Linked DNA regions of Oryctolagus cuniculus. The protein of the gene in region 1 interacts with the protein of each later gene in a pairwise test. Links are inferred from orthologs where the notes say so. Each region holds a gene or a part of one and is shown on either strand. Other genes may lie near its edges. The genes, in order: PPP3CA and AKAP5.

Evidence for each region.
Region 2: the proteins of PPP3CA (region 1) and AKAP5 interact in binary tests that used the Homo sapiens proteins (3 or more experiments, as listed by UniProt). The link is inferred for Oryctolagus cuniculus from reciprocal best matches to the Homo sapiens genes PPP3CA and AKAP5.

The regions. Positions count from the first base shown.
Region 1 is NC_091439.1:64,208,618-64,212,430, reverse strand, and holds part of PPP3CA (protein phosphatase 3 catalytic subunit alpha), read right to left. Parts: intron 3,348-3,813; coding exon 3,236-3,347; intron 2,255-3,235; coding exon 2,109-2,254; intron 1-2,108. UniProt on the Homo sapiens protein: Calcium-dependent, calmodulin-stimulated protein phosphatase which plays an essential role in the transduction of intracellular Ca(2+)-mediated signals. Many of the substrates contain a PxIxIT motif and/or a LxVP motif.
Region 2 is NC_091451.1:5,986,662-5,991,160, reverse strand, and holds the start of AKAP5 (A-kinase anchor protein 5), read left to right. Parts: upstream 1-1,427; 5' UTR 1,428-1,613; intron 1,614-3,029; exon of another isoform or gene 3,030-3,179; intron 3,180-4,499. UniProt on the Homo sapiens protein: Multivalent scaffold protein that anchors the cAMP-dependent protein kinase/PKA to cytoskeletal and/or organelle-associated proteins, targeting the signal carried by cAMP to specific intracellular effectors.

The DNA.
Region 1 (3,813 bases):
AGTTGTTATCAGATTACTATTATGATTCATGGATACTGAACAGATAAACTATTTGATTTTCTTCTCCACTGAACACAATGGAAAAATACTACTAATAACTCAAGGCAGCTGACAAAATAAACTTATACAAGGTTCAACATACAGATTCTTAGGACGTAGCAGTACTGTGTTCAAAGTCAAATGGAAAAACAATTCATTGGCAGTCACTTAGAGAAGTGAGACCAAGGGGTTCTTCATAAGAATGGTTCTTAATAAGCAATAGCCAGAATGTAAATTGTGTCCATGATTATTCCTAAGACTTCCTGTACTTTTCTAATAAATTCTGTACTCATTGAGATTAGTGCATGATTTTTTTGAAGTCTATCCATTTATAATACATTAGACTTAAATGAGTAAATATTAAATAGTATGTAGCTTTATACTAAAACTCAGGAAAATCTTGGGTTTCATATTTCAAATGAATTAATTTAGAATAATGTGACCAATTTATTGCTAAAAGTACTGGCAAAAGTGATAACAAAAGTTATAATCATGTCCATGTTTCTTCTCTTTGGGATACATTAAAGCATATTTTCTACTCTAAAAGTGGAGTAAAGAAGGTCCTATAATATCTAGCTTTCAAACGGTTTCCAATTATAGACAAAAACTTTATTTCAAATTTCAAAGAGCAATATGTAGGTGGTGAACACTAACAATTTCATAAAACTGTTATAAACATTAATGTGAACAAATTATCATATTTTAAAATAATTCCAATGATATTATTTTAAGATAACTTGAGAAAACATGTACAAAGATGAATCTCTTTGGGGATTTTCACACCAAGGAAAATATGTGGACCTTTTTATTACCCTGTTTGCTCATGTTTTTCTTTACATTGTTGTACTGATCGATTATCAACATAAATAAGGAAATAAAATATTATCACTTGTACTACAGGAAACTATCCTATATATCCTACATTTTTCTAATTTTTTTTTTTAAATTCACTTCTACAGCCAATCTAATTCACTTACCTTTTTGCTGGTAAAACAGACACAGCCAATGACAATTTAGGTAGAAAAACGCTTTTTAAAACATAAACTGGGGGCCGGCACTGTAGTGCAGTGGGTTAAAGCCCTGGCCTGAAGCGCCAGTATCCCATATGGGTTCTAGTTCGAGACCTGGCTGCTCCACTTCTGATCCAGCTCTCTGTTATGCCCTGGGAAAGCAGTAGAATATGGTCCAAGCCCCTGGGCCCCTGCACCCACATGGGAGACCTAGAAGAAGCTCCTGGCTCCTGGTTTTGGATCTGTGCAGTTCAGGCTGTTGTGGCCATTTAGGGAGTAAACCAGTGGATGGAAGACCTCTCTCTCTGTCTCTACCTCTCTGTGTAACTCTGTCTTTCAAATAAATACAATAAATCTTAAAAAACAAACAAACAAAAACCCATAAACTGTTTTTCACCTAGGCACTCAATACAATCAATAGCTTAACATAATTTCCTTTGTTAGACTGTCACTTAAAAGTTTTGAGCTGTAATGAATACATTTTTTTTTTTTTGACAGGCAGAGTGGACAGTGAGAGAGAGAGACAGAGAGAAAGGTCTTCCTTTGCCGTTGGTTCACCCTCCAATGGCCGCCACGGCCAGCGCACCGCGCTGATCCGATGGCAGGAGCCACGTACTTATCCTGGTCTCCCATGGGGTGCAGGGCCCAAGCACTTGGGCCATCCTCCACTGCAAAAAGCATAATATGGACACATTTTTAAGGGTCAAGTTATGGTATTTTTCCCAAGGGCAAAGCAACATTTTTGAGATGATATATTATGGATATACAATGGATTGCTTGGAAAAGCCAATGGAAATAAAAGGCATGATTTTTAGAGACCAAATATTTTATATTTCCAATAACATGTCATATGGTACCATGAATCCTAAGGTGTTAGAGAAGAAAAGTATAAACATATCTTCCTTTCCAGGTAAAAATTTAACACAGAGAAGAGATTTATGGTTACTTCAATCATTTTAATTCAAAAACATAAAGTTAGTGATAAAGGCAGGGTATTATGTCTTCTACTTATTACTGAAGCACACCAAATGAGGAGACCTGGAAGATTACAGAACTTACTTTTCTGATATCATCTAAGGTGTTAATCTCTGGAGACAAGCCACCATGTACACACAGAAACTGTTGGTTCATCAGGGCAGCCAGGGGAAGGCAGTCAAAGGCATCCATACAGGCATCATAGACACGTTCTGAATACTTTATTTTACCTTTTAAAGCACAATAGAAAGCAAATATTTACTTTATCATTTCACAGCTAAGATCATTTCACTAAATTTTTTTTATGTTTTCTTACCAGGCATTTTATTATTAGCATAAAACTACACATTGCAAACTTCCAAAACATAACCAAATAACACTTTAATGATTTGCATATTAGCTTCTATATCCAATGTTGCTTGTTTTTGTCATCTACCCATATTTCACATTTTCTCATAACTTTCTGTATAGCAAATGAGAGAATTTTTTTATATCTTCTGGCTGTTTATCTACAGATACAGCACAAAACTAAAAGATACTGATAATGAGATCAACAGAAAGATGGACAAAAATCTAGTCAGTAGTTCTTAGTGACTTTAAGAACAGATGGTAGGAAATCTCTTGAGTTGCTTTTAGCTCACAGCCTAGTGCTTTTCTTTTATCGATTTATATCAAATGTTTTAAGAGAAGAAATTAATGCTTCATTGAAAACAGGACTCAATTACAGGGAAACAAATTTCCGTGGACAACAGGGAAAATTAAGAGGAGGTAAGTGACATTTATACCAAGTATTCCCCACTTCTACGATCTAAGGAAGAAGTCATCTACCCTTTGTAAAATACACTAGTGGCTCTAATCTATTGGTGTCCAAAAATAGAGGGAGAGTTCATTTGCCACTCTCCATTTGCTTCTCTTGAGTGATATGAGATGAAAACATAGATTTATTATCCCCAATAGTAGTAATCTGACTCTATTAAACAAGTTAATCACTGGCTTCTTAGCATAAATTATGCCAAATAATAATTTATTTTATAGAGAATTTGTAATTTAAAAAGAAATTATGCATTCTCATAAGTGTCCATGCTTAGTCAGAAATATGGACAACATGAAATAGTGACACTTCAGACAATGCATCATAATGTAACATGCACTTATGAATTAAAATACTTAGCACACAAAGTGTTAAAGGAACAGGCATGAAATATACTTACATTCTTGTTTAAATGTGAAATACTCTGTTAGATGTCTACATTCATGATTTCCACGAAGTAAAAACAGTGTTTTTGGGTAAAGAATTTTCAAAGCCCACAAATACAGCACACACTGGGAAACATAAAAAATGATATAATTACTAACCATTATATTCTTATACATTCCTCTACTCACATATCATGAATCATGTGTGTTATCATGAACATAAATCCCGAAAAGGTTAGGCCTTACTATGGAGGATATTGATAATCAAACAGAAAACAATGATTAGTACAAAACAAAGGTTCATCTGCACTTAAAATACCCATGCACTGAGGATCACAGACCACAAGAAAACAGTGAAGTACCTATGGTTAACAAAAGTAAAATTACATGGCCTGGGGAAACTTGGAAAGGCTATTTCAGAATAAAAGAAAAAGAAAAAGGAAGATGTCTAAAATGAAAATATACCGGAAGTGAAAATATAATAACGTAAAAGTATAATTAGAAATGTTTAATAAATAATTCATAAGTTAAAAATCAAGCACTCTCTTTAAAGAGGTAACTATTGGGATAGGCATATGGCCTGGTGGTTTAG
Region 2 (4,499 bases), on another chromosome or scaffold:
CAGATACATCTTCGGGGTACTTCTCATTCAGACTAGTGCATTGCTTAAAGGTTCAGGAACCCCATGCAAATGTAGAGCCTAGCCCATGCCAACGGTAGCACCTGCAGGGCACGGCCGTGCACTTGGCCGTGATGAGGACTGGTGCTGTACAATGTCCTCTCCTGTTGCCCACCCTCTGTCGATCCAGAGGGGCAAGGTTAAGCAGGATCTAGGGGTGTGTGAAGGGCGACGTGGGTAACGTGTAAGCATCTCAGCTGATTTGGGGGAATAAGCAATGTATAAAAGATAGGGAGCAGCCTCTGCGCCCCCTGGTCGAGTTGTCCGTGTCCGCACGGGAGCACTGCGCTCTGCTCTCTGCTCCGACTCCCGCTCTGACACAGCACACCCTGTGAGGCCCCAGAGGACGGCTCAGTGCCTGAGTCCCTGCCGCCCGCGCGAGACCCGGACCGTGCTCCCTGCTCCCTCGGCAGGCTTCCAAACAGGAAGCAGAGGTCTGAGCGCCCATTCGGCAAGGGACCGCGCTAACCTCCTTCCTCCCAAACCCACGCCAGTTTCCCTTCATAGGAAGGCGCTTCAGAATCTTCACAGGCAAAAGGAATTTAACGATGTTTATTTTGGTGCCAAAATCTTCAAAAACCGCACACATACAAGGGGGTCTTCAGCGAGTTCATGGAAAACGTATGTTATGAGAAAATTATGCGTGGCTTGAAAGCGTTTGCACCAAAATACACTTCTCTTTCAGTTCCATTTTTCCCGTTACTTTTTTTTAATGTTTATTTTTCACCTACTTGGGAAGTAGAATGACGGGGCGGGTGTGGGGGCGATATTCCATGCACCTGTTCATTCCCCAGCTACCCACAACAGCCAGGGCCCAAGCCAGGACCCCAGAACGCCATGGGGTCTCCCACCTGGGTGGCAGGGCCCCAAGCCCCTGGGCCATTACCTGCCGCCTCCCAGGTGTGCGTTGGCGGGAAGCTGCATGGCAAGCGGAGGAGCCCAGATTCCAACAGCGAGGCCCAGGGCAGCTTAACCCAAGGGGCACAACCGCCGCCCCTCCACGAACTTCTCGCAGCGGCCTGGGAACTGTCATTTTCTCTCCAGCAGACACCTCACTGCTCTGCGCAGGGTTTTCAGTTCTGCTTCTGGAAATGTGATAGCTGCCCTTCACGTTCAAGCTTGGGGCGGAGGGGGGTTGCAATGTGGGAAGAGCAATTTTTAAGACCGGGTTTGACTGCTGCTTGCCCCGTCTCCCCCGCATCTTCGGGCTCGCTCGCTCTCCCCTATGTTCTCCCGCCTTCGCCCCGCGGGGATCCGCTGCGGGGGTCCAATGGGGGGACCCGCTGCGGGGGACCGCTGCGCGGCCGGCGCACGTGGCGGGGCCCACGGCTCGCAGGCGGGGCCCCGAGCCCCGCCCCGGCGCCGCCCCCCGCCCGCTCCGAGCGCGTTGGCGCCGCTGCCTGCCTGTCCCCGCGCTGCTGGGGAGGGGGCGCTGCGGGGCCGCGGTCCCTGCGCTGCAGAGGGCTGCTGGCTGCGGGTGCGACTGTAGCTCGCCGACTGCCGGGGCGCGCCCCCGACCCCGGGAACGAGGCTGGCCGGGGACCGCTGCGCTCGGGGTAAGTGGAGGCAGGGCGGGGAGGAGGCTCCGGGGCAGTGTCCGGGAGGGTGGCCGGGCTGGCCGGCGGGGTGGGCGGGAGGTGGGCGGCGGGCGCGGGCTGCGGAGCGCCCCGAGGTGGCGGGCGCTCGTTGGTCAGCAGGAATCTGCAGCCAGGGCCGCCCCTGCCCACGCTGCCCACCCTCCCGCTTGGCGTTGCAGCGCGACCTGGAAGCCGGGGCTGCCCGGTAGCTTTTTCCTTCCTTACCGTCTTTTTTTTTTTTTTTTTTTTTTTGGTGGGGCGGGGGGAGGTAAAATGTGGTGATGGGTTCCTGGCCATTACCGTTTTGCAGCGAGCTCGAAGCTGGGTTCTCTGTTCACGCCCCCGGCATTTTCCTTTTTTGAGGACTTTATCCTGGGCTCTCTGTATCGTGCCAGAGGAGAGATTGACTCCCTGCAGGAGGAAGCGTCGAGGGCCCTGGCTGCTGCGGGGTCGTGGGTGCTCTGCTTTCTGCGGCGACGACAGCAGGGTCTCCGGAGGCTCCAGGGCGAGTCACCTGCAGAGGTCTCCTGTCTGCAGATTGAGCCCCCCCACCCACCACCCCCCACCCCGTCAGAGTGTGTGTGTGTGGCTGTTTTATTTCTGCAGTGTGATATGCATTCACCCGAGCGTCTCGAAGAAATTGTCTTTGAGAAATCCAGGTTAGTTGCAGATGACACATTCCTGAACATGATCTGACTTCAGTATTTCGATCAGGAATAACACCGTCTCCTTAATAAAAAGGCCCAGGGGCTGAGAACCCGCCAGAGGTGAGACGGCTTAGAGTTCTAACCAGCTCAGAGTCCAGCGCTTACCGCGGCATTAGGTGAGAGGGGCACCGGGAGACGTTTAGATTTGAATTCCATCGTGGTTCTAGAAGGATTCTTTCTGTTAGAGGTATGAAGGATGCAACCTAAGGGAATATTTGCTTAGGTTGTAAACGGATGTTCAGCGTTCCAGTTCTTTCTCAAGTTCATAGAATTAAGGGCTTCCTAAATGAGACACACGTGAGGGATTTGCATAAAAACAGTCTGAGGAAAGAGTCTCTTAGCTTATTTTAGGTCATATGACTTTTTTTCAAGGCCTCACTCCTTCTTTCTTGGGTGCCTGGGTAGCATTCTGTGGGTTCCTTTTCAAATGCACCTTTATGTGTACATGAAACTAATCTATTTGCTGATTGCATAGCTTGTCCGTTTATCTTAGGCTTTTTTTTTTTTTTTTTTTTTTTTTACTTAGTTGACCAAGACAGTAAAATATAAAGGATTTCAAAAGTTTGGCTTCAGAATAGCAAGAATTCGGTCTAGCCTTGGTTCGAGGCTGAGCTGATGGGCTGCGTTACGGTTAATAAAATGGCCGTTAAACACTGTTCAAGAATCTACATGAATGGTTCTGTTGCAGATTAGCCACTCCAGACAGTTGGTTTTCTGGTGAAACTCACAGAGCACCACCTCAGAGCACCAGGCTTCAGGAGCAGGCAGATCTGGACTGAATCTGAGCTCTGTTACCACTGTGCTGGGAAGTGTGGGGCCACTGCTTCATCTGTGCATGGTGAGAACGCCATCCACTCTGTAGTACGAGGAGACTTCAGAAACTATGGAAAATGCAATGAAAAGATGTTTATTTGTACACCAAAAAAAAAAAAAAAACCTTGAAATTCATGCATCATTTTGTCATTTTCATTTCCATGAAGTTTGTGAAGATCTCTTCTATATTTGTGGATTTCAATTTTTTGCACCAAACTTTTAATTTTTTACTTATTTCTTTAAAATGTTATGTGTTTGAAATGCAGAGTTGCAGAGTGAGAGAGATTTTTTTCCATCTGCTGATTCATTTCCTAAATGACTGCAATGGCTGGGCTGGGCCAGGTTGAAGCCAGGAGCCAGGAGCTTCCGGGTCTCCCATGTGGGTGGCAGAGGCCCAAGGAGTTGAGTTATTCTCCACTGCTTTCCCAGGTGCATGAGCAGGGAACTGGATTGGAAGTGGAGCAGCCAGGGCTGGAACTGGTACCCACATGGAATGCCAGCATTGCAGCCAGAGGTTTAATCCACTGCACCACAACGCCAGCCCCAAACTTATCTTTTTTAAAAAATGATTTATGAAGCAGAGACACAGAGAAAGAAGGCATGAACTTCCATCTGTTGGCTCACTTCCAAAAAGTCTGCAACGGCCAGGACTGGGTCCATTGAAGCTGAGATTTGGGAATGCAATCCAGGTCTCCTGTGTGGGTGGCAAACACTTGAACCACCACTGCAGCTTCCCAGGGTGCACATGAGCAGGAAGCTGGAGACAGGAGCCACGAAGCTGGTCTTCCAGCCCACATGGTTATCCCGAATGGTGTCCTAACCACTAGGCCAAGCCCCAGCTCCTAAACCAATCTTTTGATTTGAAGCCCTCTTACATTATAGTAGAGATTAGAGAAGTAACTATGATGCTTAGCACAGCCTAAGATGCAAAAGTTGCTCAATTACAAGGCTGGCACTGTGGCATAGCAGGTTAAGCTGCCGACTACGACACTGGCATCCCCTGCAGGCGCTGGCTTGAGTCCCTGCTGTTCCACTTCTGATCCTGCTCCCTGCTGATGTGCCTAAGAAGGAGGAAGATGGCCCGAGTGCTTGGGCCCCTGCATCCACATGGGAGATCTGGAGGAAGCTCCTGGCTCCTGGCTTCAGCCTGGTCCCAGTGGATGGCAGATCTGTTTCTACCGTTCTCTCTGTAACTCTGCCTCTCAAGTAAACCAATCAATCTTCAAAAAAAAAAAAAAAAAAAAAAAAGTCGCTCAATGACTGACTCTCCACTGTGTACATTATGGTAGAGAAGTTTGAACAGCAGACACTCCAGTGAAAATGCCAGAATTATACAGCTGATTTA